Cricetulus griseus: one gene and its partners. The protein of the gene in region 1 interacts with the protein of each later gene in a pairwise test. Links are inferred from orthologs where the notes say so. Each region holds a gene or a part of one and is shown in the gene's direction. Other genes may lie near its edges.

The links.
Region 2: the proteins of Htt (region 1) and Pdk2 interact in binary tests that used the Homo sapiens proteins (3 or more experiments, as listed by UniProt). The link is inferred for Cricetulus griseus from reciprocal best matches to the Homo sapiens genes HTT and PDK2.
Region 3: the proteins of Htt (region 1) and Ing5 interact in binary tests that used the Homo sapiens proteins (3 or more experiments, as listed by UniProt). The link is inferred for Cricetulus griseus from reciprocal best matches to the Homo sapiens genes HTT and ING5.
Region 4: the proteins of Htt (region 1) and Hoxc11 interact in binary tests that used the Homo sapiens proteins (3 or more experiments, as listed by UniProt). The link is inferred for Cricetulus griseus from reciprocal best matches to the Homo sapiens genes HTT and HOXC11.
Region 5: the proteins of Htt (region 1) and Ubac1 interact in binary tests that used the Homo sapiens proteins (3 or more experiments, as listed by UniProt). The link is inferred for Cricetulus griseus from reciprocal best matches to the Homo sapiens genes HTT and UBAC1.
Region 6: the proteins of Htt (region 1) and Dnajc4 interact in binary tests that used the Homo sapiens proteins (3 or more experiments, as listed by UniProt). The link is inferred for Cricetulus griseus from reciprocal best matches to the Homo sapiens genes HTT and DNAJC4.
Region 7: the proteins of Htt (region 1) and Zdhhc17 interact in binary tests that used the Homo sapiens proteins (3 or more experiments, as listed by UniProt). The link is inferred for Cricetulus griseus from reciprocal best matches to the Homo sapiens genes HTT and ZDHHC17.

The regions. Positions count from the first base shown.
Region 1 is NW_023276807.1:103,859,681-103,863,180, forward strand, and holds part of Htt (huntingtin), read left to right. Parts: intron 1-2,765; coding exon 2,766-2,979; intron 2,980-3,500.
Region 2 is NC_048600.1:108,219,304-108,223,331, reverse strand, and holds the start of Pdk2 (pyruvate dehydrogenase kinase, isozyme 2), read left to right. Parts: upstream 1-1,228; 5' UTR 1,229-1,372; coding exon 1,373-1,490; exon of another isoform or gene 1,491-1,507; intron 1,508-3,124; coding exon 3,125-3,266; intron 3,267-4,028. UniProt on the Homo sapiens protein: Kinase that plays a key role in the regulation of glucose and fatty acid metabolism and homeostasis via phosphorylation of the pyruvate dehydrogenase subunits PDHA1 and PDHA2.
Region 3 is NC_048595.1:445,236,813-445,240,955, forward strand, and holds the start of Ing5 (inhibitor of growth protein 5), read left to right. Parts: upstream 1-1,343; 5' UTR 1,344-1,445; coding exon 1,446-1,482; intron 1,483-1,790; exon of another isoform or gene 1,791-1,999; coding exon of another isoform or gene 2,000-2,006; intron 2,007-3,619; coding exon 3,620-3,691; intron 3,692-4,143. UniProt on the Homo sapiens protein: Component of the HBO1 complex, which specifically mediates acetylation of histone H3 at 'Lys-14' (H3K14ac) and, to a lower extent, acetylation of histone H4. Component of the MOZ/MORF complex which has a histone H3 acetyltransferase activity.
Region 4 is NC_048595.1:399,328,615-399,332,697, forward strand, and holds Hoxc11 (homeobox protein Hox-C11), read left to right. Parts: upstream 1-1,413; coding exon 1,414-2,095; intron 2,096-3,350; coding exon 3,351-3,583; downstream 3,584-4,083. UniProt on the Homo sapiens protein: Sequence-specific transcription factor which is part of a developmental regulatory system that provides cells with specific positional identities on the anterior-posterior axis. Binds to a promoter element of the lactase-phlorizin hydrolase gene.
Region 5 is NC_048599.1:137,385,999-137,389,498, reverse strand, and holds part of Ubac1 (ubiquitin-associated domain-containing protein 1), read left to right. Parts: intron 1-1,105; coding exon 1,106-1,213; intron 1,214-2,519; coding exon 2,520-2,622; intron 2,623-2,901; coding exon 2,902-3,010; intron 3,011-3,500.
Region 6 is NC_048596.1:52,462,499-52,466,558, forward strand, and holds the start of Dnajc4 (dnaJ homolog subfamily C member 4), read left to right. Parts: upstream 1-1,260; 5' UTR 1,261-1,318; intron 1,319-1,359; exon of another isoform or gene 1,360-1,614; 5' UTR 1,615-1,633; coding exon 1,634-1,728; intron 1,729-4,032; coding exon 4,033-4,060. Other genes in the region: uridine diphosphate glucose pyrophosphatase NUDT22, read left to right, coding at 211-308, 436-529, 747-905.
Region 7 is NW_023276806.1:144,559,187-144,562,686, forward strand, and holds part of Zdhhc17 (palmitoyltransferase ZDHHC17), read left to right. Parts: intron 1-2,286; coding exon 2,287-2,380; intron 2,381-3,421; coding exon 3,422-3,500. UniProt on the Homo sapiens protein: Palmitoyltransferase that catalyzes the addition of palmitate onto various protein substrates and is involved in a variety of cellular processes.

The DNA.
Region 1 (3,500 bases):
TTACTTCTACATCATAGTCCATCACTGAAGGAAGTCAGGACAGGAACTCAAACAGGACAGAGGCATGAGCTGATGCAGAGGCCATGGAGGTACTGCTTACTGTCTTGTTCCAAATGGCTTGCTCAGCCTGCTTTCTTATAGAACCCAAGACTACCAACCCAGGGATGGCACCACCCACAATGGATTAGGCCCTCCCCTATCAATTACTAATTAAGAAAATGCCCTATAGTCCCGCCTACAACTCAGGCTTATGAAGGCCATTTTCTTAATTGAGGTTCCTTCCTCTCAGATGACTTTAGCTTGTGTCAAATTGATATAAACTACCCAGCACAATTTGTCTCATCTTTGTGTGATTAATGTGTAGCAGCATATGGGAGACTTGAGTCTAGCAAGGACAGCATTAAAAATGGCATGTGAAAGCTATAATCCAGAATAGCCAGCACATGGGATGTGAATAGGCTGCTTTTTCAACCAAATTGGAATTCTAAAAGAGGAAAGTTGTTTTAACTCCATCTTTCATATGTATAAAGAAAATAGGTGGTCATAAGCTATAGTCAGTTCATCATCATTTATTTCATGACTGCAAGAAAGTGTATCATGTGTTCATTGTATTCTGGAAATTGATCTTTACTAGCCCCCTTGTCTCAGTTAGGGTTTCTATTGCTGTGGAGAGACACCATTACCACAGCAGCTCTTATAAAAGAAATATTTAGTTGGTGCTTGCTTACAATTTCAGAGTTTTAGTCATTATCATCATGGTGAGAAGCCTGGCAGCATCTAGACAGACATAGTGCTGGAGAAAGAGCTGAGAGTTCTACACTTTATCCACAGGCAGCAGAAGATTGTGTTCAACACTGGGAGTAGCTTGAGCATATAAGACCTCAAAACACACTTCCTTCAACAAGGCCACTCTTCCTAATAGTGCCATTCCCTATGGGCCAGTCTTTCAAACACATGAATCTATGGGTGCTATTCCTATTCAAACCACCACACCCCTGTATTCATTACTTTTCTCATTGTTGTCATAAAACACTCTGACAAAAAGCAGTTTAAAGGAGGAAGGGTTTATTTTGGCTCACAATTCAAGGGTATAGTCCCCATGGCAGGGAAAGCATGGCAGCAGGAGCTTGAGGTGTCTGGTCACATGGCATCCATAATCAGAGAGCAGAGAGAGGAATGCTGGTGCTCAGCTTGCTTTTTTCTTTTGATTCAGTACAGTATCCCTGCCCACAATTAAAATGGGTCTTCCTACCTCAGTTGACCTAATCAAGAAAATCCCTGATAGGCACACCCAGAGGTTTATCTCCTAAGAAATTCTAGATCTTGCTAAGTTGACATCAGTATTAACCATCATGACCACCATGTAGTGAGGTGACCTGTCTGCTCTAGATAAAGAGACATTCTCCCATGGGGTGAGGTGCCCTGTCTCTTCTAGATATAGAGTAATTCTCCACTTACCCCTCAAATATCAGAAGGGGTACTACAGAGCTGGTCCAGGTCTTGAAAGCATTAGTTCCTCGCCCTTGGCTTCTTTGCCAAGCATCCTTATGCCACTACCTTAGTGGGCTGCTTTGTTGCCCCATTGAAGACAAGGATCCACTGCCCCTTGACATATGGTAAATGGGAAGAGAGAAGGAGGCACCTAGCAGGTTAGAGGTAGGCACATAGGAAGAGATCCAAAATACAGGACCAGTTGGTTAGATTTTCCAAGTTGCTAAGTTGGCTATTTACAACTATGAAAGTTCTAGCTGTGACCATAGGAATGTTTGATTTAGGGGAACTAATGATGAAATATAGTTTTTAATATTAAAGCTTGAAGTTCTACTTGAAAAATTGTTGTCCTCCCCATAACTCCTTAAATGGCTAAAAAAAATTGACAAAGCATAATAAAACTACCATATGAGGCCAGGCATGGTGTCACATGCCCTTAATTCCCACACTTGGGAGGCAGCGACAGGAGGATCTCTGTTTGTGGCCTGTTGGTCTACATCCAGGCCAGCCAGGGCTATACAGTGAGACTCAATCTCCAAATAAATAAATGAATAAGTAAGATTTTAAATTTTTGTCATGTGAAATGTTGATTTTCCAAGCATATTTTTGTCACATATAAGACCACCTTCCAGATGTTTGTTCTCAGGCTGCAGCAATGCTTGGAACATTAGCCTGGGTGCACTGTTTATAGCAATTAAAATTTGTCATCCTATAATTGTTTCAGAGAAATATAAGGTCATAAAACTAAACATACTACTTTAAAATTCAAGCCTGACAAAGAGACCAGAAGTATTTACTAAACATATGTTAAATGGAATTATTAAAATATTTATTTTTAATGTATGTAATATAGGATATACTTTTTAAAACAGAGAATTCAACTTAGAGTCATATTTTTCTTTTATCTATTTACATTCTAACTGAAAGCTTTTCTAGAGTGTATTTTCTTACTATAACAAATAACTTGAGGCAAGCTGCTTCATAAGGAAAAGAAGATTATTTTAACTGATAGTTCTATAGATACAAGGTCCAGATGCTCATCTAGTGATGTCCTTCTTGTTGTCAGAGTCCCAGTGTGGTGCAGAGAATCACCATAGTAAAAAGGACACATGAATGTCCATGTCTCTAGAATAGTCTCACAAGCATTCCTTACAGTACTCTAGTCTCGATTATCTTAGAAACAAATGCTTGTTGGATTAGCTATGTGTTTCCAGCCTGAAGAAAAGTTTACCATCTTTGCTGTTGTTTGTCTGGCCTGTAATGTTCTGACCCAGGAGTTCAACCTAAGCCTTTTGGCTCCCTGCTTAAGCCTTGGCATGAGTGAGATTGCTTCTGGCCAGAAGAGTCCTCTTTTTGAAGCAGCCCGTGCAGTGACTCTGGACCGGGTGACCAGTGTTGTTCAGCAGCTTCCTGCTGTCCATCAAGTCTTCCAGCCTTTCCTGCCTACAGAGCCAACAGCCTACTGGAGCAAGTTGAATGATCTGCTTGGTAATTTAAATATGGTTCCCAAGCCTCTGGGATCCTCCTATTATCTCAGCTGAGGTTACAGGTGCACACCCTGCAACTCAAATCCTCATGCTTTGCAGCACTTTATCCACTGAATTATCTTCTCAGCCCAAGTTATCTTAGTTTTTAAATTATTTTATTTTATGTGTATAGGTGTTTTTTACCTGCATATATGTCTGTACTGCATGCATGCAGTGCCCATGGAGCCAGAAGTTGGCATCAGATCTCATGGGACTGGAGTTACAGATGGTTGTGAGCCACTATATGGCAGCTGGGGATTGAATGTAGTTCCTCTGGAAGAGCAGCCCATGCTCTCAACTGCTGAGCTATGGCTCTAATCCCAATTTGTCATAGTTTTAAAAGTATTACAGATCCAGCAGTGCTTTGCCCCAAGTACATACGTAGTCAGGACTGTTGAGCTGCAACACTGAAAGGCTGACAAAAGTAACTGAAAAACTGCACCAAATTCTTATCTGTGAACGTATTTCGTTGTTGTTTGGCTA
Region 2 (4,028 bases), on another chromosome or scaffold:
CACCTCAGCTCCAGTTCCTCCTCTCACTTTTGAGATCTCATTAAATTACCCCAGCTGTACTTGAATTTACTCTACCTCATGTGGGCCTTGAACTGAAATCCTCCTGCCTCCTGCCTCCAAGAGTAACACCAGGCCCTACTAAAGGCCAGTGCATTGATCCTGCCTGTGTTTTGGAACAAAGCTCATCCCTTAGCAGGGGTGTGGCAAGGGTGGGTCAATAAGCAAAGAACTAAGGAACCCCATGCAGACCTGCAGAGTAGGAAACACACCACGGTCTACCAAAAGGGGGCGCATGGCGTTTTGCAGGGAAGAGGCTCCGGCTGTTAGGAATATTGAGCTCCTTAGCTCCTAAGATACTTGTAATAAGGAAGCCAGACACACAGATGGTTGCCTTCTCAGGCTAGGTACACAGAAGGTTGCCTTCTTGGGTGGTTTGCAAGACGTTCAAGGTTTTTGTTTAGTCAAACGAGCTAGGTAATAATACAACGAAACTTCCTAAAATTAGTACCTGCCTCTGGCTCTGCTAGTCCTGAGGGATTTGGCTCGGGGTGTTTTTGTTGTTGTTTTTCAAGTGACAGAGGTCAATATAAGGCTACATGCATGCTAAGCAAGTACCAGACCCTCGGGGCTACACTCCCACCCCAATTTTGGGTGTTTTTCACGTGAAAAAGAAAACGCCGCCTTTTCTTGGGCCACTTGGATATTTATAGAAGCTAGAGGGTTCCAGGCATGTAGGATATAGTATAAGCTTGCATCCTGGTTCCAAATTTCGCAAGTGTTCATTCTGGGTCCATCGTAGGAATGGAAAACTACCAAGAGCTCCTATGGCAGAACAGGTGAACATCAAGACAGGTGGAACAGGTGCCTTTAGGAAAGGGGCAAGGCGGGGAAGAAAGAGTTAAAGGAGAGGGAGCGTGAAGGAGGCCGGGGGAAGAATCCAAGGAAACGCAAAAGAGTAGAAGGCCAACCGAAGGGTTAGCGGGACTCTGGGAAAGAAAGGGTTAACGCAGGTCTCGCCCCTTAGAAGTCTAGGGGAGTTAGCAACTGGAGGCGGGACTTGAGCTCAGCGGCGGAAAACAACAGGCCACCTCCAGCACCTACACGGTTAAGGGGGTGGGCCCCGAGAAGAGCCACGTGTCGAAGCGCAAGGCTATTGGTTATCCCGGAGTTGTTTGTGCGCGGCCATTGGCGACGTCAGGGCGCAGGGACAAACCGATTGGCTGGACGTTGGAGGTTCAGCCAGGGCAGGGATAGGGAGGAGGTGGCCGAAGCGCGTCTCCCGGCCGAGCTGGGCCAAGCGGAGGGCCGGTGCCAGCACCTCCAGCCCCGGGACAGCAGTGGCAGCCGAGCCGAAGCCGCGGGCGCCGTCGCGATGCGCTGGATCCGGGCACTGTTGAAGAATGCGTCCCTAGCAGGGGCGCCCAAGTACATCGAGCACTTCAGCAAGTTCTCCCCGTCCCCGCTGTCCATGAAGCAGTTTCTAGACTTCGGTACGGAGTCATCGTAGGTGGGCACCGGGGGCGGTAGGCGCGGAGGAGGAGACCCTGGCAATGACAGGTTAACGTTCGAGGAAGAGGTTCTGGGTGGCGGCAGGAGGGTTGACTTGGAAGAGTATGGACAGGAACGGGTAAATGGCGAGGCAAGCCTGGCTGCCCAGAAAGAGTTAAAGGGTGCCCCCTTCACACAGTTACTAAGAATGGGGGCTCGGGGGAAGCGTTGGGAGGGGTCATGGAGAGTAAGAGGCAGCGAGGTTATAGGGCCTCATCCAGACATGATAGAGCTAATGGGAGATCGTGGCTACTGACAGGAGTAAATGGGACCTGCTACTGGGAGTGCCAGGGAGATCCAATCATCTAGAAGACCGGTGCTGTGCATGAGAGTGGGGTACTTTTGAGCTGAGTGAGAGAGAAATCCCAGGGCAGCTGGGAAGGGGGCCCTCTAAGTAGGAGGTGCTGACAGGAGCTCCCCTGATTGGGGAGCCTCCACCCACTGCAGCTGCCCACTGGGCAAGGACACTTGAAGATCAAATCCATTCTGGCTCGGCAGCCAGTTCCTAGCTGGGCACAGCCCAAGTTACCATGAGGTAGTCAGGTGGCTTATACTCTCCTATGGCTGTCCCTGGGTTTCTGAAGATCACCCACTACCAGTGTTCTGGGTGTCGAGGTAGCTTTGGGGCAGGAGAAAGCTGTGCCAAGTGTGTCCCTGTCTGTCTACATGGCATTCCCATGTGCCAGCTGGTGATCAGGAGTGGGTCCAGGTCTTTCAAGAGTTGGCTTAGGTTACAGCTGCGTCACAGACAGGAAGATAGGGAGGTGGCAGACAAGATTTGGGCACTTGTTTTCCAGGCTGTGCCTTTGTTTCTCCTTGTTCTGTTGGAGTCTTGAGCTTTTCGTGTGTGGGAAATCCTTCAGGGCCCACTCTAAAGCCCCAGCAAAGTGTCACAGCTGGAAAGGCTTGCAGTAGTCCAGTCTACCTATATGGAGAAAACATCCCTCAAAAGGATGGTGACCTACCCTTGGTGACAGAAGCAAGGCATAGTCTCGGTCCTAGGTCTCCTGTCTCTAGACTAACACTACTCATTCCTCCACTGCCTGTTCCTCTTGACCCTGGACCAAGGTCCCCATTTGCTTCACAGATGGTCATTAAACATGGCCAATTCTACATTGGCATCCATCTGTCTCATCAGCCTGGATGAGATGGGCTGCCTTAGGGTTATTAACTGAGTTCCTGCAGTCCTGGGAATCTAGTCACAGCACCCCAGGGAGGGAAGGATTTCTTAGGGACCTCTTCCCCTGCCCCCAGTACCCTGGAATCAGTGCCTACCTAGAGGGATGAGAAGAAAATTGAGGTGACTTAGGCCAGAACAGTTCAGAATGAGCCCTAGAAACATCTTGTCTCCCTGGTTAAAGACAAGTGGGGTTTTAGCTGAGGGTCAGTCACAGGTGATACTGCTCCTGAAGTGCCAAGCTAGGTGGCGGGGTCCCTGGGAAGGCTCAAGCACTGCAGTGTTACGAGGGCTGCCTTACTGTGTGCCATGGATAGGTCACTTGGTCATTCCCAGTCTCCACGTGTGTGCCAGTTCTGGTGGTTTGCAGCTATTGACTGACCCCTCTTTTACCCTCAGGATCCAGCAATGCCTGCGAGAAAACTTCCTTCACCTTCCTTAGGCAGGAGCTGCCTGTGCGCCTGGCCAACATCATGAAAGAGATTAACTTGCTTCCCGACAGAGTGCTGGGCACCCCCTCAGTGCAGCTGGTGCAGAGCTGGTAAGACCCCCTTCCTTATCTCCCTGTTCCTCAGTTCTTGGGTCCAAGGCTAAGACAGAGGCAAAGCACAGGGGCTCCAAGCGACTGGGGAGTTGCCCAGGATCATGTGGGAATCCTCAGCTTGGACAGGGACAAAGGTCAAGTTCAGTCTGTGTCTCATCATCCTGCTGTCTCTGGGTAACTAGGGTCCATCTAAGAAAGTGCAGTTTTCACAGTCAAGAACAAAAGTCATGCTAGTGTCAGCAGTAACCCTTGGCCTGCTCCTGGAGCCCAAGCTCCTGTTTGTCCAGGTAACTTGGGAAAACAGGAAACAAGATGACGATGCAGCTATCCAAGTGGCAAGACAGTTATCTAACTGTCTTGAATATTGGGGAAGCACTGTATTAAACACAGACAATACAGTTCCTTCCCAAAGAGTTCTAAGGGCAAGGATCAAAAGTTTACTCCAGGTAGCCGTAGGCACAGAACTCTGTCTAGAGCTGGGTAACTGGAGGCCAGTAGCCACACAGGAAACATAAACAAAGGTGTGTCTGTTCCTGGGCATGTCCCTGGCTGGTCATCAATAGACTTTTGTAGCAACTGGACAAAAACCTAGTCTTCAAGATTTACAACGTGGGGCTTGGGAGCTTGTGTCATACCTATGGACCCAACACTGTCCTGTGTCTATGCAAATGGCAGCAGCTGACTATGTAGCTCAGCGATAAAACATGACTTTGCCCAGCATGCCACAGCCTTAGGCAGCACTCATGGTGCAGGCCTGTA
Region 3 (4,143 bases), on another chromosome or scaffold:
TGAGGATGTGAGGGGTAGTTCCCACACTGTCGCTGTAGCCCCAGCTGCCCTTGACCCTCGGCCTTTTAGGATACGTGCTTCTGACCAGCGTGAAGTTACAGAGCACAAGCAGGATTGGCACGTGGCACCTAAAATTTCGCCCATGAAACTTTGCTGGAGATAATTTCCTAATCTTAGCAGGTTCTGTGTGGCAGAGAGATACATGGTGACTGGCAAACGCATCCACGATAACACCGAGTAAGGTTCAGACACAGAGGGAGCACACACGATCCCACCATCTGACATACTGAAGTGGCAGCCCTCCCCTTTTGTTTTTAGAGACAGGGTTTCTCCATGTAGCCTTGGCTGTCCTGAACTCACCCTGTAGACCTGCCTAACCTCGAACTCAGAGATCCGCCTGCCTCTGCTGTGCTGGGATTAAGGCGTGTGCTACCATAGCCTCGCTAACTTCATTTTTTTTAAGTAAAAAAAAAAAAAAATTGTGACGAGGTCTAGCTAGTGTGGGCGGCATAGGACTCGTTATGTAGACAGGACAGTCCTTGAACTCATGGAGATACACCTGCTTCTGCACGTGCCGCCACGCCCGGCTTTTCTAGGTTTTTTTTTTGGGGGGGGCAGGCATGGAGGTGTGCATGGCTTCTTCACCACGTGTGGGCACGCCCCTTCGGGGCCACACAGCAACAAAGAGCATCAGTGTTTTAACCAAGGCCCGCGCGAGTGGGAGCGTGTGTATGGGAGGGTGTGGCGGGTGTGTTTATGCGTGAGTGTGTGTGAGGGTGTGGCGGGTGTGTTTATGCGTGAGTGTGTGAGCGTGTGTGTGTGTGAGGGGGTGGCGTGCGTGTGTGAGCGTGTGTGTGTGAGGGGGTGGCGGGTGTTTGTGTGTGTGCGTGTGTGAGGGGGTGGCGGGTGTGTGTGTGAGCGTGTGTGTGCGTGTGTGAGGGGGTGGCGGGTGCGTGTGTGCGTGGGAGGGGGCGGCGGGTCGTCTCCTTCCCCGAGGACCTCGCCGCCAGCTGCACGGCACCACACCACACCGCCCCGCAGGCAGCTCGCACCAGCTCTCGGCTCCGCCGGGTCTGAGCCCCCCCCCCCCCCGGGCCGCTCGCGGCAGGTGTCGGCCGGAAGGTGAAGCTTGGACACGTGCAGGCGAGGTCGCCCGTCGAGCGCTCCACGGGGCAGCGCCAAGGCTCGGAACGCGGCCGTCAGAGTTCCGCGTTGCAAAGCGCGAGGCGACTCCACCGCCCGCCCGGCTTCCCTCAGCGAAAACCCCGCGGCGCCGCCTGGCGACCGCAGCCGGCCGGAAGCGTGGGGGAGGGCCCTGGCGCGCCCCGCCCCTTCTCCGGCCAATCGGCGCGCGCGGCTCATGAATAGTGAGCGCGCGGCGCCGCCCCGCCCCGAGTCCGCGGCACCGCCCGCTCGCGCAGACCCCGAGCGTGGCCGCAGCGAAGATGGCGACTGCCATGTACTTGGAGCACTATCTGGACAGTAAGCACCCTGGCCGAGCCGCCGCCCTCGCCGGGCTGCGCCGCCGCCGCCCCTGGCCCACCGCGACCCGCGGGGCCCCGGGCGCGGCCGCGGACGGGGACTGGCCCGGGGGACAGTGGGGCTCACGGCCGGCCTGGGGCGGGGCCGTGGGTGGAGGGGGGCGCGGCGCGGGGGTCCCGCCGCCTCCGCCGCGCCAATTCCAGGTGCGTCACGGAGGGGCGGGGCCTGCGGCTCAGCCCGCCCCCTCCGCTTCAGCCCCACCCCGACGCCGGCCACGCCCCGAGCCCCTCCCCTCTCGTTGAGTCTGGCGTGGGGGAAGGCCCGCCCCTTCCTAACCTGCTGCTGTGGTGTTTGCTTTCCGAGCGGGCGTAGGGAGCTCTGGGCGAGCGAGCGAGCGGGGTGCGGTTCTTTCTCGCGGGAAACTCGTGTTGTCACAAGCCAGCCCGGCAAGGGAGGATGCCCCGTGTAACGGGTTGATCTTTGACGAGATCCCAGGCGTGCCCTCCTCCGTTTATTTATGGATGGTGAGATTGGCTCCCGGCGAGAATTGAGAGGATTATTTCCCACTCTTTAGGGTGGCGGGGGCGCCCCTCAGCTTTGACTGTCTAGCAGGGCTTGGGAAGTGGGTCTCCAAGGTGATCCGTCTTCACTCTGAAGCCCCTCCAGTGGGCGTTCTGATGTGGATCCAAGATGGGTTCATTTCAGTGCTGGCCACCTGTGGGAAGGAACCCCATTTCTCCACAACTCACTGATAGTAGGGACACACTCCCTCCCATTTATTTATTTATTTATTTATTGGTTTTTCGAGACAGGGTTTCTCTGTGTAGCTTTGGAGCCTATCCTGGCACTTGCTCTGGAGACCAGGCTGGCCTCGAACTCACAGAGATCCTCCTGCCTCTGCCTCCCGAGTTGCTGGGATTAAAGTCGTGTGCCACTAACGCCTGGCTATTTTTATTTTTTTTAAACAATTTAATTTTACTTTATGTACATTGATGTCTTGTCTGTATGAGGGCATCCGATCCCCTGGAACGGGAGTTACAGATAGCTATGAGCTGCCATGTGGGTTCTGGGAATTGAACCTGGGTCCTCTGGAAGAGCAACCAGTGTTCTTAACCGCTGAGCCTTCTCTCCAGCCCCCCCCCCCTTTTTTTTAAAGTTCACAGCAGATTAAGCCTGTGAATAAATGTAGTTCCGGAGGCTGCAGTTAAAGGTCCCTGGAGGATAGAATGCTGCCAAGGGCCCTGGGAGTCGGGCTGTGGATGATAATGTCTTGGGGAGCTCAGGAAGTTATAGCAGCAAGTTTTCTAAGATGCGGGCCTAAAACGCTGGCCTTATTGGCTGTGGAGAGTACTTGGAGTGTGACAAGACCCAGAAGGCATCTGGAGTCTGCTGAAAGCTTAGTGCAGGCAGACAATCAGGAAAGCAGCACGGGCTGGTTTGCCCACCAGCTCAGCCTAACCACAGGGTCTGGTGAGCTGCTCCGTGGCACTGTTTGCTTTTCCAGTGCTCACAACTGTGTGGCAAGAGGCTAATATGTTGGACCGAGCAGAGAGAGCATGTCTTAGAACCACTTGGTGTATGGTTCCTGGTACAGTAGGTATCAGGATAAAGTTGGAGAAATGAAGGAGAACTCAGGTTCTGGCTTGAGCTTCGGAAGATGCAGTTCAGGAGTGGTGTGGCCTGGGGATGGGGTGAGGTGTCTGTCTGCGTATGCTGGGGGCAGGTTCCTGCATTCTCCCTTTGAGCTGCCAGTGCTTCTGAAACTGTCAGACTGTTGGTACCTGCCCCTAAAATGGCCTTAATCATTTTAGTCCCCAAACTGGAGGGCCCTGGAGATTTTGTTGTTTATTGTTTTTTTTCTAAAGATTTATTTGTTTTTTATTTCATGTATGTGTGTTTTGCCTGCATGTATGTCTACACACCACATGTGTGCAGTACCCTCTGAGGTCAGAGAGGGCATCAGAGATCCCTTAGAACTGGAGTTATAGATGGCTGTGAGCTTTCACACAGGGATTTGAATTGAGCTTGGGTCCTCTGGAAGAGCAGTAAGTGCTCTTAACAGCCAAGCCATTTCTCCATCCCTGGGGGTAGATTTTTGTCTACTGAGAAGTACAGCACTTACTGATGTCTCTTTCAGGCATTGAGAACCTTCCCTGTGAACTTCAGAGGAACTTCCAGCTGATGAGAGAGCTAGACCAGAGAACAGAAGGTGGGTATAGCCTAAGCTGAATTTTGACCATTGATCAGGGAGAGAGATAGTAAAGGGCATGGGATGTCAGAGAGCTACAAGGGGCCTGGTAGAGCACAGGATTTGCATTGCACAATGTCTTGGAGGCAGTGCTGGTACTTTTTGTCATGGTTGCTTTTTGTGTTTCTCTGTAGCCCTTGCTGTCCTGGAGCTCACTTTGTAGACAGGTTGTCCTCAAACTCACAGAGATCCACCTGCCCCTCCTTCCTGAGTGCAAGGACTAAAGGCATACACCACTGTCTGTCTGACTTGGTACTTTTTGTTGCTGTTGTTTTTGTTTTTTTGAGACAGGGTTTCTTTGTGGTTTTGGAGCCTATCCTGGCACTTGCTCTGTAGACCAGGCTGGCCTCAAAACTCACAGAGATCTGCCTGTCTCTGCCTTCCAAGTGCTGGGATTAAAGGCTCTTGTTTTG
Region 4 (4,083 bases), on another chromosome or scaffold:
GAACCTTTCAATAAAGTTATTTTCAGCTGCCCAGATGTGTGTTGTAATGGCCAAAGGGATGGGCGGCTAGCAAATCACTGAGTATTCCTCCCTGGACACAGCAGTCCAGGAAGGAGGCTTACAGACTTGGAGGAGGGCAGGGTTGGACTGAGAAGAGGAGAAGGCAGAAAAGAAGTCATGAGAGAGGCTGGAGACTTCTGGCCCCACCCCTGCCCACTTTGGGACCACAGTTTTATTCCACTGTCTTGTTGATTGATACTAGAGATAGTCACCTGGTCTCTCTACTCACCTAAGCTCCCAAAACCATTTTTATAAAAATTAGGATCCCTCAATTTAGTTCCCTTAACAATGAACCCTACTGCCAAGTTTCTTTTCAGCCCATTAGCTGGAGCTGAGCTCCCAACACGAAGGGCCCCAGATAGAGATAAGATAGATGACTCTCATTCTAATCTTTTTCTTTGGGGTTTGGGATTTTAAAATCCACAGTGGATGTAGCTTTCTGCACATTGATTGACAATAAAGGCAGGCATGAAATATTCACCCAGGGCCACTCTCTCATACTAAATATTTAACACAACATTAGAGAAGGTTTTTCCCAGACTTTGCCAGGCACCGGCTGGGCGGCTGGCGCGCTGCTCACCACTGGTTTATGACTAATAGGAGTCCCTAGCCAGCGGCAGCATAGCAAGCTAGGCAAAGTTGGGACACAAGCTCAGAGCTGGGCTGCCTCACCTTTGGGAAACTTCAGATACTCTTCTTGGGAACCTGTCCTATGAGCGAGCTCACCCGGCTCTGTCCAGGAAAATAATCTAAAGGACTTCAAACTCTTGTAAATAGACACTGATTCTTCAGGTAGAGGGGTAAGAGCCCCTGAAACTTGAGGATTCAATATTCCTGGGGAAATCAGGTAGGAAAAAGTCCTGCCTCTTACCCCAGCATATCATAAGAAGGAGGCCAGACCCCTAAACGGAAAGCTCTCCTCCTTCCCCCAATCCTGGGGGTGGGGGGAGCAGCAGCTAGGAAAAAATACAATTACCCCCTCCCAGCCACCGCCCCCGCCCATCCCACCGCCCACCCCACCCCAACCCTCTCTTTCTCCTCCTTTGCTCGCTCTGTGGAATGGAGAGGAGGGGAGTGACGAGAGAAAAACGAATACAAATCTGCAATTGATTTTCATAATGTTTCTGCGGTGTTTGCAAACCAATCGCCTGAACGTCCCCGATCTTACCTAAGAGAGAACCCCTCCTACGTCTGCGAAGTGCTCCGAACTGATATATGACAATATCTACTTTGGATCACGTGCTCGGGGAGAGAGACTAAGACGGATAACGCGTCATCTCGCCTTCCCAAAATTTCCCCCCTCGCTAGACCGGGTCCAAAACCTCCATCCGGAGCAGGCAGGAGAAGAGAACGATGTTTAACTCGGTCAACCTGGGCAACTTCTGCTCGCCTTCGCGCAAGGAGAGGGGTGCTGACTTCGGCGAGCGAGGGAGCTGCGCTTCCAACCTCTATCTGCCCAGTTGCACTTACTACGTGCCCGAGTTCTCCACCGTCTCCTCCTTCCTGCCCCAGGCCCCCTCTCGTCAGATCTCCTATCCCTACTCAGCCCAGGTGCCCCCGGTCCGGGAGGTCTCCTACGGCCTGGAGCCGTCCGGCAAGTGGCACCATCGGAACAGCTACTCGTCTTGCTATGCGGCGGCCGACGAGCTTATGCACCGGGAATGCCTGCCTCCTTCCACAGTCACTGAGATTCTCATGAAAAATGAAGGCTCCTACGGCGGCCACCACCACCCCAGCGCCCCACACGCGGCCCCCGCAGGCTTCTACTCCTCAGTCAACAAGAACAGCGTCTTGCCCCAAGCCTTCGACCGTTTCTTCGACAACGCCTACTGCGGTGGCGGAGATGCGCCTGCCGAGCCCCCCTGCTCCGGCAAGGGCGAGGCCAAGGGGGAGCCTGAGGCGCCCCCGGCCTCGGGACTGGCGTCCCGGGCAGAGGCCGGTGCTGAGGCCGAGGCCGAGGAGGAGAATACGAATCCCAGCTCGTCTGGTTCTACCCACTCAGCGACCAAGGAGCCGGCCAAGGGAGCCGCCCCCAGTAGGTAGCAGCGGCCGGGAACCCGAGGGCAGCGAGGGAGGGAGCGGAGAGGGAGGGCTGGAGTAGGGGGGAGGCCAGGGAAGCGCGGACAGCCTCGTGTTTTGGGTCAGTCCTATTTTATGTGGAGTTTTATAAGCATTCAAAGGATTTTATTATAACCTACAAAGCCCTCTCTCCCAACGACTCGACTTTTTACGATGGAGAAGGGGTGGGGAGGGGAGGGAAAGGGGCTCTTTGGAAAAGCCGGGTGAGCCCCCCTCCTCCGTTATCTCCCTCGGTCTGTGAAATTTTTAAAAGTGCCACCATTGCGGGCGATATTAACTTTGATCGTGAACTTAGAGGAGCGTTTAAGAAAGGATGGGGAGACGGGCTGCCGGGGGGTTGGGAGGGAGGGGAGGGGTGGAGGGGGAAAGGGAGGGCGAGGGACAGACCGGGAGAAACCCAGAGAGGGGGAGAGGTAAGGGACAGAGCGACGAGGCAGAACTGGAGCCCAGACAGGCGCTCCAAGGCAGCTCCGCTTCTTTTTAAAACGACTTTTTTTTTTTTTTTAATGTTCAAATTACATGCTCGCGGGTCTTTGAGTAGAAATCCAGGCAAGCTGGGGTTTGGCGGTGATAGGGGAGTGGGGAAAAGATCGGAGCTCCCCTGAGCTGTTGGTGTCGGTGGTTCTCCAGGGTCTACGCCCTCTGGGAAGGCCCAGCCAGGCAATGTGCGTAGCCGGGCAGATAGGCGGCAGGGCGTCCCGGGGAGCCAGGGCCTGGCTGGAGGCTCCCGTGTATTCAGCTACCTCTACTCGCTGGTCGCCCCCCCCCCCATTTCCCACTGCTCTCGCCAGAACCCAATTCTTTGCGCCGATTCTCCGTGGCTCCCTCCGATTTCTGGAGGAGGGGGAGGATCAAGGACTTGCAGAAGCTTTAGAAGGAGCAGGCAGGGCACCCCCAAGGAAAGCACGTGGCTAGGGCAGGCTTTCCTCCACCCGTAGACACTGTCAGCTAGGACTCTGGCCTGAGAGGCAGGGGCACCAGGTCCACACTGAGTGTGTGGACCAAGCTAGACCTGACAGTGGGATTGAGGCTTGCCCCAGCGAAGAGACTACGGAACAAGAGTCGCCGGCCTAGGGGGAGGGCTGCCCAGCGGCAGGACTGACTGGGAGCTTTGCTGCTGAGCGTTCAGCGTCTGGGGTCCGCTGGGGTCGCCCGGGGTCTCACGTGTCTCTCTCCCCTCTCCTCGCACTTGCCCCCTCCCCTCCCTCCAGACGCCCCCCGCACCCGCAAGAAGCGCTGCCCTTATTCGAAATTCCAGATCCGGGAACTGGAGCGAGAGTTTTTCTTCAACGTGTACATCAACAAAGAGAAGCGGCTGCAGCTGTCCCGGATGCTGAACCTGACTGATCGACAAGTGAAAATTTGGTTTCAGAACAGAAGGATGAAAGAAAAAAAACTGAGCAGAGACCGGCTGCAGTATTTTTCAGGAAATCCGCTGCTGTAACTGCAGACCTAGCCCTTTGGGGTGGGGGGAGGGAAAGGGGGAAATTTATTTTATTTTATTTTATTTTCTAACTCGTCTTTTTTCCGCGGGTGGAAAACTGGACTGCGGCCAGGGCTGGCCCCCCACTGCCGTTACTGGCACTTCCTTCCAGAACCTCCTTCGCCTCGGGTCTAATTCACTGTAGGGACAGCGACTCGGCCTGGGAAAAGGCGTGAGGGAAGTGTCTGACCCGTGGCTAGTGGACCCGGTTGGCGCCAAGGCCCCAAGACTGTTTATTTAAAAGAAAATACACCTTGCAACAAAGTCTTGCTGCTTGGATTGGGTGAGGGGAGGGGCGAGCACAGTGGGCGCCAGAGCCGAACAATCCTTGAACTCCAAGCCTTCCCTAGCCCAAGTGAAAAGATCCGCTGAGCCACCTTGTCTGTGAGACCTCCTGGACTCCCCGCCCCCCACCCCGCCTCGCCCCTCGGTTAGGGGACTGCTAAATGTGATCCTGCCTT
Region 5 (3,500 bases), on another chromosome or scaffold:
GAGGAGTTATGGAATTTCTTTTTTTTTTTGTTTTGTTTTGTTTTGTTTGTTTTTCGAGACAGGGTTTCTCTGTGACTTTGGAGGCCGTCCTGGAACTAGCTCTTGTAACCCCTTTACCTTGCTGTTTTGGCTCTTGCCTGGTGTGGACAAGCTGGGTTGGTGTGGCTCTGGTTTGCAGGTAGTGAGGTACCCACTTTCCTTACCTGTTCGTCCTCCTCTTCCTCCTCACTACCTCCTTACACCCCTAGCCTCTGCGAGCCCTGGAAGCTATATGGCTTGTGCCAGCTGCTGAGCTCTCTGGGGTAGAGAACTTGTTGCACCCATCCTACTCCTCAGTCTCACCTATTCTGGTTGGTTTGATGATTTTGTGAGTAGCTGGGGTGAACAGGAAGCAAAGCAGTAGCAGGGTGCTGGAAGGTTCTCCCCTTCCCTCTTTTCCCTCCCTCTCTTCAGAACAGCCTCTCACTCTAGGCTCTCAGGTTTCACCAGACTGTTGTTGGCCAAGGCCAGTAGGTACAAGTATCATTCTGGCTCTTGGATCCCAGGCCTGTCTTTTCTGGCACCAGTATCCCAGTGCTCTTGAGTAGGTTGCATCTTAGTAGGCTGTGTCCTGTGGGCTCTTTGCATCCTGTGGGCTCTTTGCATCCTGTGGGCTCTTTGCATCCTGTGTGTGCCTTCTTGTGCCTTCTGAACATGCCAAGTGCTGCTTCCTCTGCTGGTTTGATTTTCTCTCCTGTCTTCCTTATCTGTGAGCTTCTGCCACCTTCATCCTTTCCTTTCATTCGTGGAGGCTTCACTACAGCCCTGGAGGCCTCAGCCCCAGCTCCACCAAAGTACTACAGGACTGCCACTCCTGCAGCCTCAACCTCTCTGTCTTCACCTGCATATGGTTTATAGCACGTGAGATCATGTCCTAAGCATCTTGTTAGGCTTCTGCCTCTAATGCGGTGCCCGAAACTTCCCAGAATCTTCTAGCTCAAGGGCATCATCACAGCTAAAGCTTAGGAGGTTACTGTTCTCCATGTGGGCTGTTGGTCCAAGTTTGTTGTCATACTCCTCATGTTCTTGGGTTCTTCCTTTCTGACTTGAATCATTTTCTCTTCAGAAGAAACAAGAGCAGAAGGCTCCAGACAAAGATGCTATCCTCCGGGCAACAGCCAACCTGCCTGCTTGTAGCACAGACCGGACTGCAGTTCAAACCACCATGAGAGACGTGAGTACCTGCCTGGTGTGGAACTGGGGGCATGTCCTGTGGGATAACAAGAAGTTCTTTAAAAGTGCTTGGGGTTGGTGTGGTGACATTCAGGACGCTGAGGCAGGAGGATGGCTTGAGCTCAGGTTTGAGGCTAACATGGATGTTATAGTCATCCCCTCATCCCACCCCCATCCTCCCCCCCAAAAAAAAACAAAAAAAAGGGAATCTGAAACAGAATGTTCAGGAACTCTTTACTACTTTTGGACTCTTCTATAAATTACATTTTTTTTTTTTCAAACTACAAAGTTGACGAGATATCTATAGCCCTGGACAGACAGCTGTAGGGAAATGCAGTGACTTTGCTCTGAATTCAACAAAGCTTCCAGGGAGGAATCTGAGCTCCCCAATTACTTTGGACAAGAAAACTAAGTCAGAAGCCTACAGCATGCTAACGTGGGTTAGTCCATGATAAAGTATGCTTCTGTATGCAGGAATTGTGGAAAGTGGCCAGCATTCAGCTTTATCAGTTCTGGATCCATACTGGTACTGCTGGAAGCCGAACCTCTCTGGGGTCTTTTTTGAAGAGTTCCATTTTTTTTTTTTTTTTTAAGATTTATTTATTTATTATGTATACAGTGTTCTGTCTGCATGTGTCTCTGCAGACCAGAAGAGGGCGCCAGATCTCATTTTAGATGGTTGTGAGCCATCATGTGGTTGCTGGGAATTGAACTCAAGACCTTTGAAAGAGCAGCCAGTCTTCTTAACCTCTGAGCCATCTCTCCAGCCCCAAAGAGTTCCATTTGATAAGAGCTTTGTAATTCTTCTGCAGTGGCTGGCACATGTGTCCCTCTCTGGTTTCTGTGGGTCCAACCCTGGATAGGGTCTCAGGAGGCTTTAGGCTTGTAATGTCCCACCTCCAGGCCCAGTATCAGGCAGGGGACTGGTGCTAGAGTGGAGGTAAGGAGTCTCTGATGTCGCCAGTCTGTTATTGAGACAGAGTCTCATTGTAGATCAGGATGGCCTTGAATTCACATCTGTCTGCCTCTGCCATCCAGGTGCTGGGATTAAAGGTGAAGGCCAAATGCTCTCATAGATTTGGAGGGCTATGTTCAGGGGTAGAGTTGCAGATCTAATTAGGTTTGTTGGACATTCAGAGAAATGATCTTTTCTTTCTTTCTTTCTTTCTTTTTGAGACAGGGTTTCACCGTATAGCTTAGGTTGGCCTCAAACTCCCAGCAGTCTTCCTGCCTCAGCCTTGCAAGAGCAGGGATTACAGGTGTGCATCACTGTGCCAGGCATGATCTCTTTCTTCATTCTACTACAGTTCCAGACCGAACTCCGGAAGATCTTGGTGTCTCTCATTGAGGTGGCACAGAAGCTGTTAGCACTGAATCCTGATGCAGTTGAATTGTTTAAGAAGGCAAATGGTATGAGTGGGTCCTAGCCTGCACCCGCCAACTGTCTGCTCAAGCCTCAGAATGTGTCCCCAGCCCTCACATTGAAAGCAGGTTCTGCTTTCAGTTGATTATGGGGTGGGTGTGTGTGGCTCCTGGCCTGTTGTGTGGCCATTCCTAATGTGTAAGAGCTGATGTTAGGGCCTGAGTTTTCTGTGGCATCAGTAATTGCTAAGAGCCTTTGCAGTTGAGACTACGGAGCTTCAAAGGGCTTAGGAATCCCCTCATGACAGGTTTTCTCTTTTTTCTCAGCTATGCTGGATGAAGATGAGGATGAGCGAGTGGATGAGACTGCCTTACGGCAGCTCACAGAAATGGGCTTTCCTGAGAGCAGAGCCTCAAAGGCCCTTCGGCTGAACCAGTCAGTATGCTCTCTTTCTTCCCTTTTTGGAACTTGGCCTGGGCTTCCCTGTGATTCCCCCTCCCAAACTCTGATGGAATCATACTTTTTTTATTGTTTATTTTAAGTGTGTGTGTGTGTGTGTGTGTGTGTGTGTGTGTGTTGAGGATCTCTGTTACCTATGCTGGTCTTGAACTCCTGGATTCATGCAATCCTTTTGCTTCAGGCTCCTGAGTAGCTGGGACTAAAGGTGTGAACCACCATACCTGGCTGTTAAGAGAGCCAAAAAATCAGTCTGTAAATGTGCCCTGCACCTTCAAGTTAGGAGAGCTCTAAGCCAAACTTGCCCCTGGTCTGGACAGGAGTTCTTTCATAGTCTTCTTAACACTTCTGGTTTCAGTTACTCAGGTCCCATATGAATGCTGTAGGCTAGAGCTGGTTAATCGTTGTGTTCTTTGTGCTGTGGACCTAGGACCTAGACTCCTTTGTCCCTTTGTTTGGGGTACATGTC
Region 6 (4,060 bases), on another chromosome or scaffold:
CAGTGATGCATACCTGTAATTCCAGCACTCAGGAGATGAAGGCAGGACCAGAAATTCTGGGTCATCTTTGCTAAATAGTGAGTTTAAGGCCAGCCTGGGCTACTTGAGGTTCTGCCTTAACAAAAATAAACATACAAAAACACCAAACTAACAAACAAAAAACCCAGGCCATTGAGCTGTCAGCCTGACAGGTGGGACTCCCTGCCACAGGTGAACGTGCCACCGCATACCTTGAGCCAGCCACTGTTATTGGGCATCGCTTGCAATGAGACCAGCGCGGGCAGAGCCAGTGCAGAGTTCCATGTCCAGTGAGTGGGCTCTGGGGTGCAGGATCCTGGGTGAGGTGGGTGGGGAAGGAGTGGGTGTGAGGCGACTCGAGTTCTGTGGGGTTCCCATAAAGTCTGGACACCAAGCCACCCTCATGTTTTTGTCTAGGTGCAGCCTAACTTCAGAGGAGGTTAGGAGTTATTACATGAGTGGGGGACCTGAGGCCCACGAGTCTACAGGAATCATCTTTGTGGAGACACAGGTGTGGAGTTGAGGCCTTCACGGTGGTCTGGTATTGGGGGGAAAGAATACTTGGGTGAGGCAGAGAACTCCCGGGTCTCCTAGAGTTTCCAGAGGCACAAAGCTTGGGTCCTACCTAAGGGGAAAGCCCATGAACGGGGATAGACAGGAGTACTGAGATTCAGTAACTATAGGCAGAAAGTGAGGCCTGATGTCTGGGTCTCACTGATTTCTCTCAGAGGGTACAGAGACTACAGGAGACAGAGATGTGGGCACAACTCTGCCCTTCAGCCAAAGGCGCCATCCTCCTCTACAATCGCCATCCTCCTTTACAGTCGGGTGCTGGGACGTCCCGCCTGAGTCATCCTAGCGTCCCAGCCCTATCACTGCAGCTCTAAAGACAATAAAGGACTTTTATTCTTGGATACCGTTGCCTTCTGCTGCTTCTGCTAGTCTGGGATCCTCCGGGAGAACCTGGGGTGGGTGAGAGGGGCTGGCCACGTGGCAACGCAGCCTCCGTGTGTCCCTGTTTGGAGAAGGCGGGCCACGGCGCAGAAAAAGCACCTCTTTGAACCGCGCCTGGCTGCTCAGAGGGATGGGGCACGGGACGGGCAGACCCCGGTACCTTTCAGAAACCCCGGCACTTCCGCTTCGCGGACTCTGGCGTTTTAGACCAATGAGCGTACGGGGGCGGGTCCTTTGTTCGTGTACCCGCCTTCCTGCCCAATAAGAGTGGCGTGAGCCTTACACCAATCAGGGCTTGGGGGCGGGGCCTGTGCGGGCGCAGGAAATGGCGGCGACTGTGGAGTTTGTGAGTGGGGGACAGGGGCGGGGCTCTGCTGTGGCTCCTCCTCCTCACGCCCACCTAACGCTATAGATGGGGAGGGGTGTCCCGGGTCCTGAGCCGGTGATCTAGACTTGGAGACCAGTGCTGGAGGCCGTAGCACTCGCGTCTGAGTCTTGAATAAAGAGGCCTTTCTGAAATCTGCTTCAGTCTGGCTTTGTGGGAAACTGAGGCAGGCTCCTTCTCTCTTCCCCGACACCCGAGGTCCGGCCCAATTGATTGGGATCCAATGCATACCTCTTGGGGGGTCCTCCCTTTCCCAGCTGCCCCGCCGCTGTCATCATGCCGTCCCTGTTGCTCCTGCTGCCCCCGCGCCTATGCCGGCTGTGGCCCTACAGCCCTCCCACCCGGCTTCTCTCAGCCGCCACAGAGCAGCGGTGAGTTGAGCGCCAGATCTTGGCCATGTTGTTCTGTGATTTTCTATTGAGAGCCCTGTGTTCTGAGATAGCTGTCTGCATTATACGCCAAGTGCCTTTAGAGATCTGTCCCAGATAACCCTCACCTTCAGAGCTGGACACTGAGTATCAAGGGTTCAGAGCAGAGCCCCAAGATTAAGTGAGATAAGTGGCAGGTCGGGAATTTGAGCTCAGGTCAAAGCCAGTGCTCTTTCCATAGTTCTGGTATGTTGTCAGCCTTCACTGTGCATACACTGGAAATGAGGAAAGTTGAGTACAAAGATTTAGATTTCTGGGCTGCGATCTGGAGATGCTGGTCAGGAGGAATGAGGGGGGGTGAGGGTGGGAATCTGCCTTTTCCTTTTCCTTTGAGATGCAGTTTTTCTATGTTGCCCAATCAAGGTTCCAAACACAATCTCCAGAGTATCTGGAGTTCAGATGTGCCTTGTCTGTCCCTTTAAACCCTAACACGAGTCATCCTGACCTCACCTTGACCATGCCCTGGTTAGGTGTGGTTAGGCACACCTGTAGCCAGTTTCTAGCAGGTGTGGCTTACACTGTCCCCTACACACCACCACCACCCGGCTTTAAGGCTTTAATTTAAATTAGAAACAAGCTTGTTTTACTTGTCAATCCCAGTTCCCTCTCCCTCCCCTCCTCCCTTGCCCCCCACCGACCCCCTATCCCATCCCCTTTCTGCTCCTCAGGGAGGGTAAGGCCTTCCATGAGGATCTTCAAAATCTGTCATATCATTTGGAGCAGCCTAGACACACCCTCCCCCGTGTGTCTAGGCTGAGAGAGTATCCCTCTATGTGGAGTGGGCTCCCAAAGTCCATTCATGTACTAGGGATAAATACTGATCCACTACCTGAGGCCCCAGACCTCCAAACTGACATCCTCTTTCAGGGGGTCTGGAACAGTCCTATGCTGGTTTCCCAGCAATCAGTCTGGTGTCCATGAACTCCCCTTGTTCAGGTCAGCTGTTTCTGTGGGTCTCTCCAGCCTGGTTTTGACCCCTTTGCTCATCACTCTTCCCTCTCTGCAACTGGATTCCAGAGTTCAGCTCAGGCATATAAGGTAGTCATCAATCTCATTATCGGAGAAGTGCATTTAAGGTTGTTAGTTGGGATCAACCTTGTAGATATCTGGACATTTCCCTAGTGACAGATTTCTCTTTAAACCTATAATGGCTCCCTCTGTTATGGTCTCTCTCATCCTGCTCTCCTCTATCCTTCCCCTGACTCGATCCATCTTGCTCTCTCATGTCCTCCTCTCCCCTCCTCTTTCGCCTAACTCCCTCTCCCCTTCCCCCATGCTCCCAATTAGCTCAGGAGATCTTGTCCCTTTCCTCTTTTCTGGGGACCAGTCACAAAAAGACAAACATGGTATGTACTCACTCATATATGGATTTTAGACATAGAGCAAAGGATTACCATACTGCCAGAGAAGCTAGGAAACAAGGAGGACCCTAAGAGAGACATACAAAACCTGCTGTTTTAAGTAAGTCTTTAGGAGCTGGAGGATGGCTCAGAGATTAAAAGCATTTGCCAGCACAGAGGACTCAACACAAGGACTTACAGCCACACTCTCTGACCTGTTGGGAGCACCAGGCATTCATGTGGTGCACATACCCACAAACAGTCATATACATAAAATCAAATAATAAAACTTTAAAGAAGTGTTTAAGCCAGGATGGTGGTGGGACAGTGGTGCCCACTGTCAGCCGCAGAACTTGGGAGGCAAAGGCAAACTCTGTGAGTTTAAGGCTAGTCTGATCTACCTAGGGAGTTCACGTCAGACAGAGCTAGTGAGACCCTGTTTTGTTTGTCCCCCCCCCTTTGTTTTTTTTTTGTTTTTGTTTTTTTGTTTTTGTTTTTTCGAGACAGGGTTTCTCTGTGGCTTTTGGAGGCTGTCCTGGAACTAGCTCTTGTAGGCCAGGATGGTCTCGAACTCACAGAGATCTGCCTGCCTCTGCCTCCCAAGTGCTGGGATTAAAGGCGTGCGCCACCAATGCCCGGTAGTCCCCCCACTTTTTTTTTTAAGCAGCAGAACCCTTTTTGGGTCTGTGGTGTAGGAGTCTGATGAGGAAGACACTTTGAAACTAAGAAGTCCTGACCATTCCTGAAACATCCCAAAGGGAAGGGTAATCTGGAGCAAAATGTGTCTTGGGACTAACTTCAGTTCCTGGTGACTGAATTGAAGGGTGTGCCCAGAGAGGATGGCAGGACAGGGCAATGATGACCTTTGGTCTCCTAAGCCTCTGTAGGTTTGGGCTTCTCTCCATAGGTCTTCTCCGTCTAACTACTACGAACTG
Region 7 (3,500 bases), on another chromosome or scaffold:
ATTCTTGAGTTTAAAAGTCACAGTATCAAAATCCCATGGATTATTTTTCAGACAACATAGTCTTGTAACAAATACAAGTATTTATCTGGAAGTATCTGAGCAACTTAAAGTACTACATTGTCATTAATTTAAAAGTGGTTGTTTTGAATCAAGTCATACATTAAGACTTGAAAGTATTGTTTATGAAATCAGTTACAGTTATGACTATTTTATCATAGACATTTTAAATTTAAACTTTTGATTATTTTACAGTATTTGTGAAAACACTTTAAACACTACCACATGGTTACATTCCCCCAAATCATACATGAAACTAAATGCATTTAAGTTGTATAGCGAAAGTAAACCAATGTCTTGTTATTAGTACATAATAGTAAATGCATTAGTAAAGTAGTTGAGATAGCTTAGGATTATGGGAAGGTTTTAAACAGCTTAATTTCCCATTTGTGAATGGGTGTTCAGAGTGCACACTGCTCTGCTTTTGGCAGTGATGTTTGAGCACTGGCTGCATTCTTTTGCACATGCGCGTATTATTTTACAAGTTTGGTTTCTGTGCTTTACCATGGATAATATAGAAGACTGTTACTGTTTCTTATTGTGATACACTGCTATTCTGTGAAGATAATCAGCTTCCACAAAGTCATGCATATACCATGTGTGCTTGCATGTGATATGCAAATTTTATAGTCAGTGTAGATAGAAGTTTTCTTGTTAAATAAATAACTGGTGGCTTTTTATCATGGTGGCATAAACTTGTTATTATGTATTGTAAACCATGTACTTTTTGGTGGATAATTCCTCATTATAGAGCATATCCTATTATAAAGACATAATTTTCACTCTGTGGTGTGTGCTTTTAATTATTTATTACATAGATAAATAGATGACTTCCTAAGAAGACTTGCAGATTGGATTTTTAGAAATGAGTTAGTTGGTTACAGGCCAAGGGTGTTATATTTAAGAACCTTGAGACCAACTCACCCTTTACCTTGTTGTTAAGGATCAGATTTTTTTTTTTTTTAATGTTTCATTTTTGTTTGAAATTTGGTGCTCTTGTAAGGTGCTTTTCTTCTCCTCCTCAAATGTCATTTAATGAAGGAGACTTGGGAATCTTTACACCAGATTCCCCCTTGGCTGATTTAGCATACCCAGTAGAGGGAGAGGTACTATAAATAGCATTGTAGTGCTTATAAAGACCAGAATAATGGCTTTTTGTTAAGAAATAAGACTACTAAATCCATATGGTTGTCAGTTCTAGCAGGGGAAATGCTGAACCTAATTTGAGATTACAGGAGGCAGTTAAAGAGAACACAACTATTTTTGCTAGATTTGTTATTTTGGGGAAGGTGCCTTCATTAAAGATTTCTAATACGAAAAGCTGTTTTACTCAGTTTTAATGCAACCTTCCTTTTATCAAAAGAAATTTAATTAAAGGGCAACCAGCATCATGATCATCAACCAAATGAATTTCTAAGAGTTTAGAAGTGCTGATGTTTGTATTGTTTAGAAACATGAGATACAAATTGTGTCATCTTTTATTGTAACAAATTGACCTTTCTTCTTTTTTTTTTTTTTAAAGATTTTATTTTATATATTATGTATACAACATTCTGCTTCCATGTGTATCTGCACACCAGAAGAGGGCACCAGATCTCATAACGGATGGTTGTGAGCCACCATGTGGTTGCTGGGAATTGAACTCAGGACCTCTGGAAGAACAGACGGTGCTCTTAACCTCTGAGCCATCTCTCCAACCCCATGAACTTTATTCTTATTTTTGGAGAGTTAGGACAGCCATAGAACACTTGTCCTGCACACAGTGTTCAGTCCCAGAAGAAACAGCCCTAAAAGCTCACTGGTTACCTTTTGTAAATCAGTTCTCCATTCTCCATTCTTTCCTTCTCTTTTAGAAATTGTTTTAAGAGTTCATATTTTACCGTCTTTGTTGCTATTGTTTTTGTTTTGAACAAATTAACAGTAGTTTTGGTTTTATTGGTTGGAATATTGGTATAATTCTCAGAAATACAGTTATATTTTTTCACAGTTCTACTTTGAAAGTATAAATGTTCAGCTTTTCTTGCTTTATTTTGTTTTTGAGACAGGTTTCTCTGAGTAACAGTCCTGGCTGTTCTGGAACCCATTCTGTAGATCAGGCTGGCCTCGAATTCACAGAGATCCACCTACCTCTGCCTCCTGAGTGTTAGGATTAAAGGCATGCACCACCACTCCTGGTCAGCTTTTTTTAATGCAATGTTTTTTATAATACTTTAATATGTTTATTAATAGATTCGGAAGCCGGTGAGGTCCAAACACTGTGGTGTGTGCAACCGCTGCATAGCAAAATTTGATCATCATTGCCCATGGGTGGGTAACTGTGTAGGTAAGTTGTGTTAGCAATCTCTTAGAATGTTGTTAACTTAAATTACTATTAGATAACTATTGACATACAGGATTTAAATAGATAGTTATTCTTATACCCCACATGCTTCCTGGTTGTATGGCAACTCAATCAAGGTGCATGTATGTGTATGGTTGTGTGTGTGTGTGTGTGTGTGTGTGTGTGTGTGTGTGTGTGTGTGTGTGTGTGTGTGTGTGTGTGTGTAAGTGTGTGTGTGTGTAAGAATCAGTCAGGAAGAGTCGAACTGTTTCACTGTCCATTCTCTCTGGTGTCTACTGTCCTCTTTCCCCACTGAGTAACAATGAAACTCGTCTGATGAGGGAAATGATATTTGAAGAAAACTGGAGAAAGCAAGGCAATAATAATATTTGAAAAGTTATGTGCAGAGACAGAGAAGAGGGACAGGTAGGAAGAATTACACACCTCACACCACTGGTGCAATCTGAGAGGATTAGGTCAGTGATCTGAAAGTGGCTTGGAGATTAAAGGGTGATAGGTAGAAAAGAAATGGTTACAAAGACTTGTGACCATGGGAGAGGAGATCGTGATTGTAAGGGTTATAAAAGGAAGATGGAATGGGTTTGACAGGACACTTACACCATAAGAATAGGATTGAAAGCCATAGTTATGTTTTGCTAGTTTTTGGGATCCTTCCTTCAGAATGGTTGCCAGTGATCTCATCACATCATGATCGTAATTGCCAGCATTCTTATTTAAAAACATTTACTAAAACAATGTCCTCACGCTGGCTCTCTCTCTTGCCCTTCGCCCCCCTCTCTATCTCTCGCTCTCCCTTTGTCTCTCTCTCTCTTCCCCCCCCTCGCTCTTTCCCCCCTTTAATAAACTCCATGGTTAATGAAAATAAAAACAAAAAAAATCAATCTTCTCAAAGCATTCCACAAAATAAGTAATGGATGTATTGATTATTGTCCAAGTTGTATCGTATCTGTCATAGCACACCTGATGAAGGTGTGTTCCCAGTCGTTTTTTCTCAGTTGACATAATTGCTTCTGTGTTGTTTAGGTGCAGGCAACCATAGGTACTTTATGGGATACCTGTTCTTCTTGCTTTTTATGATCTGTTGGATGATCTATGGCTGTGT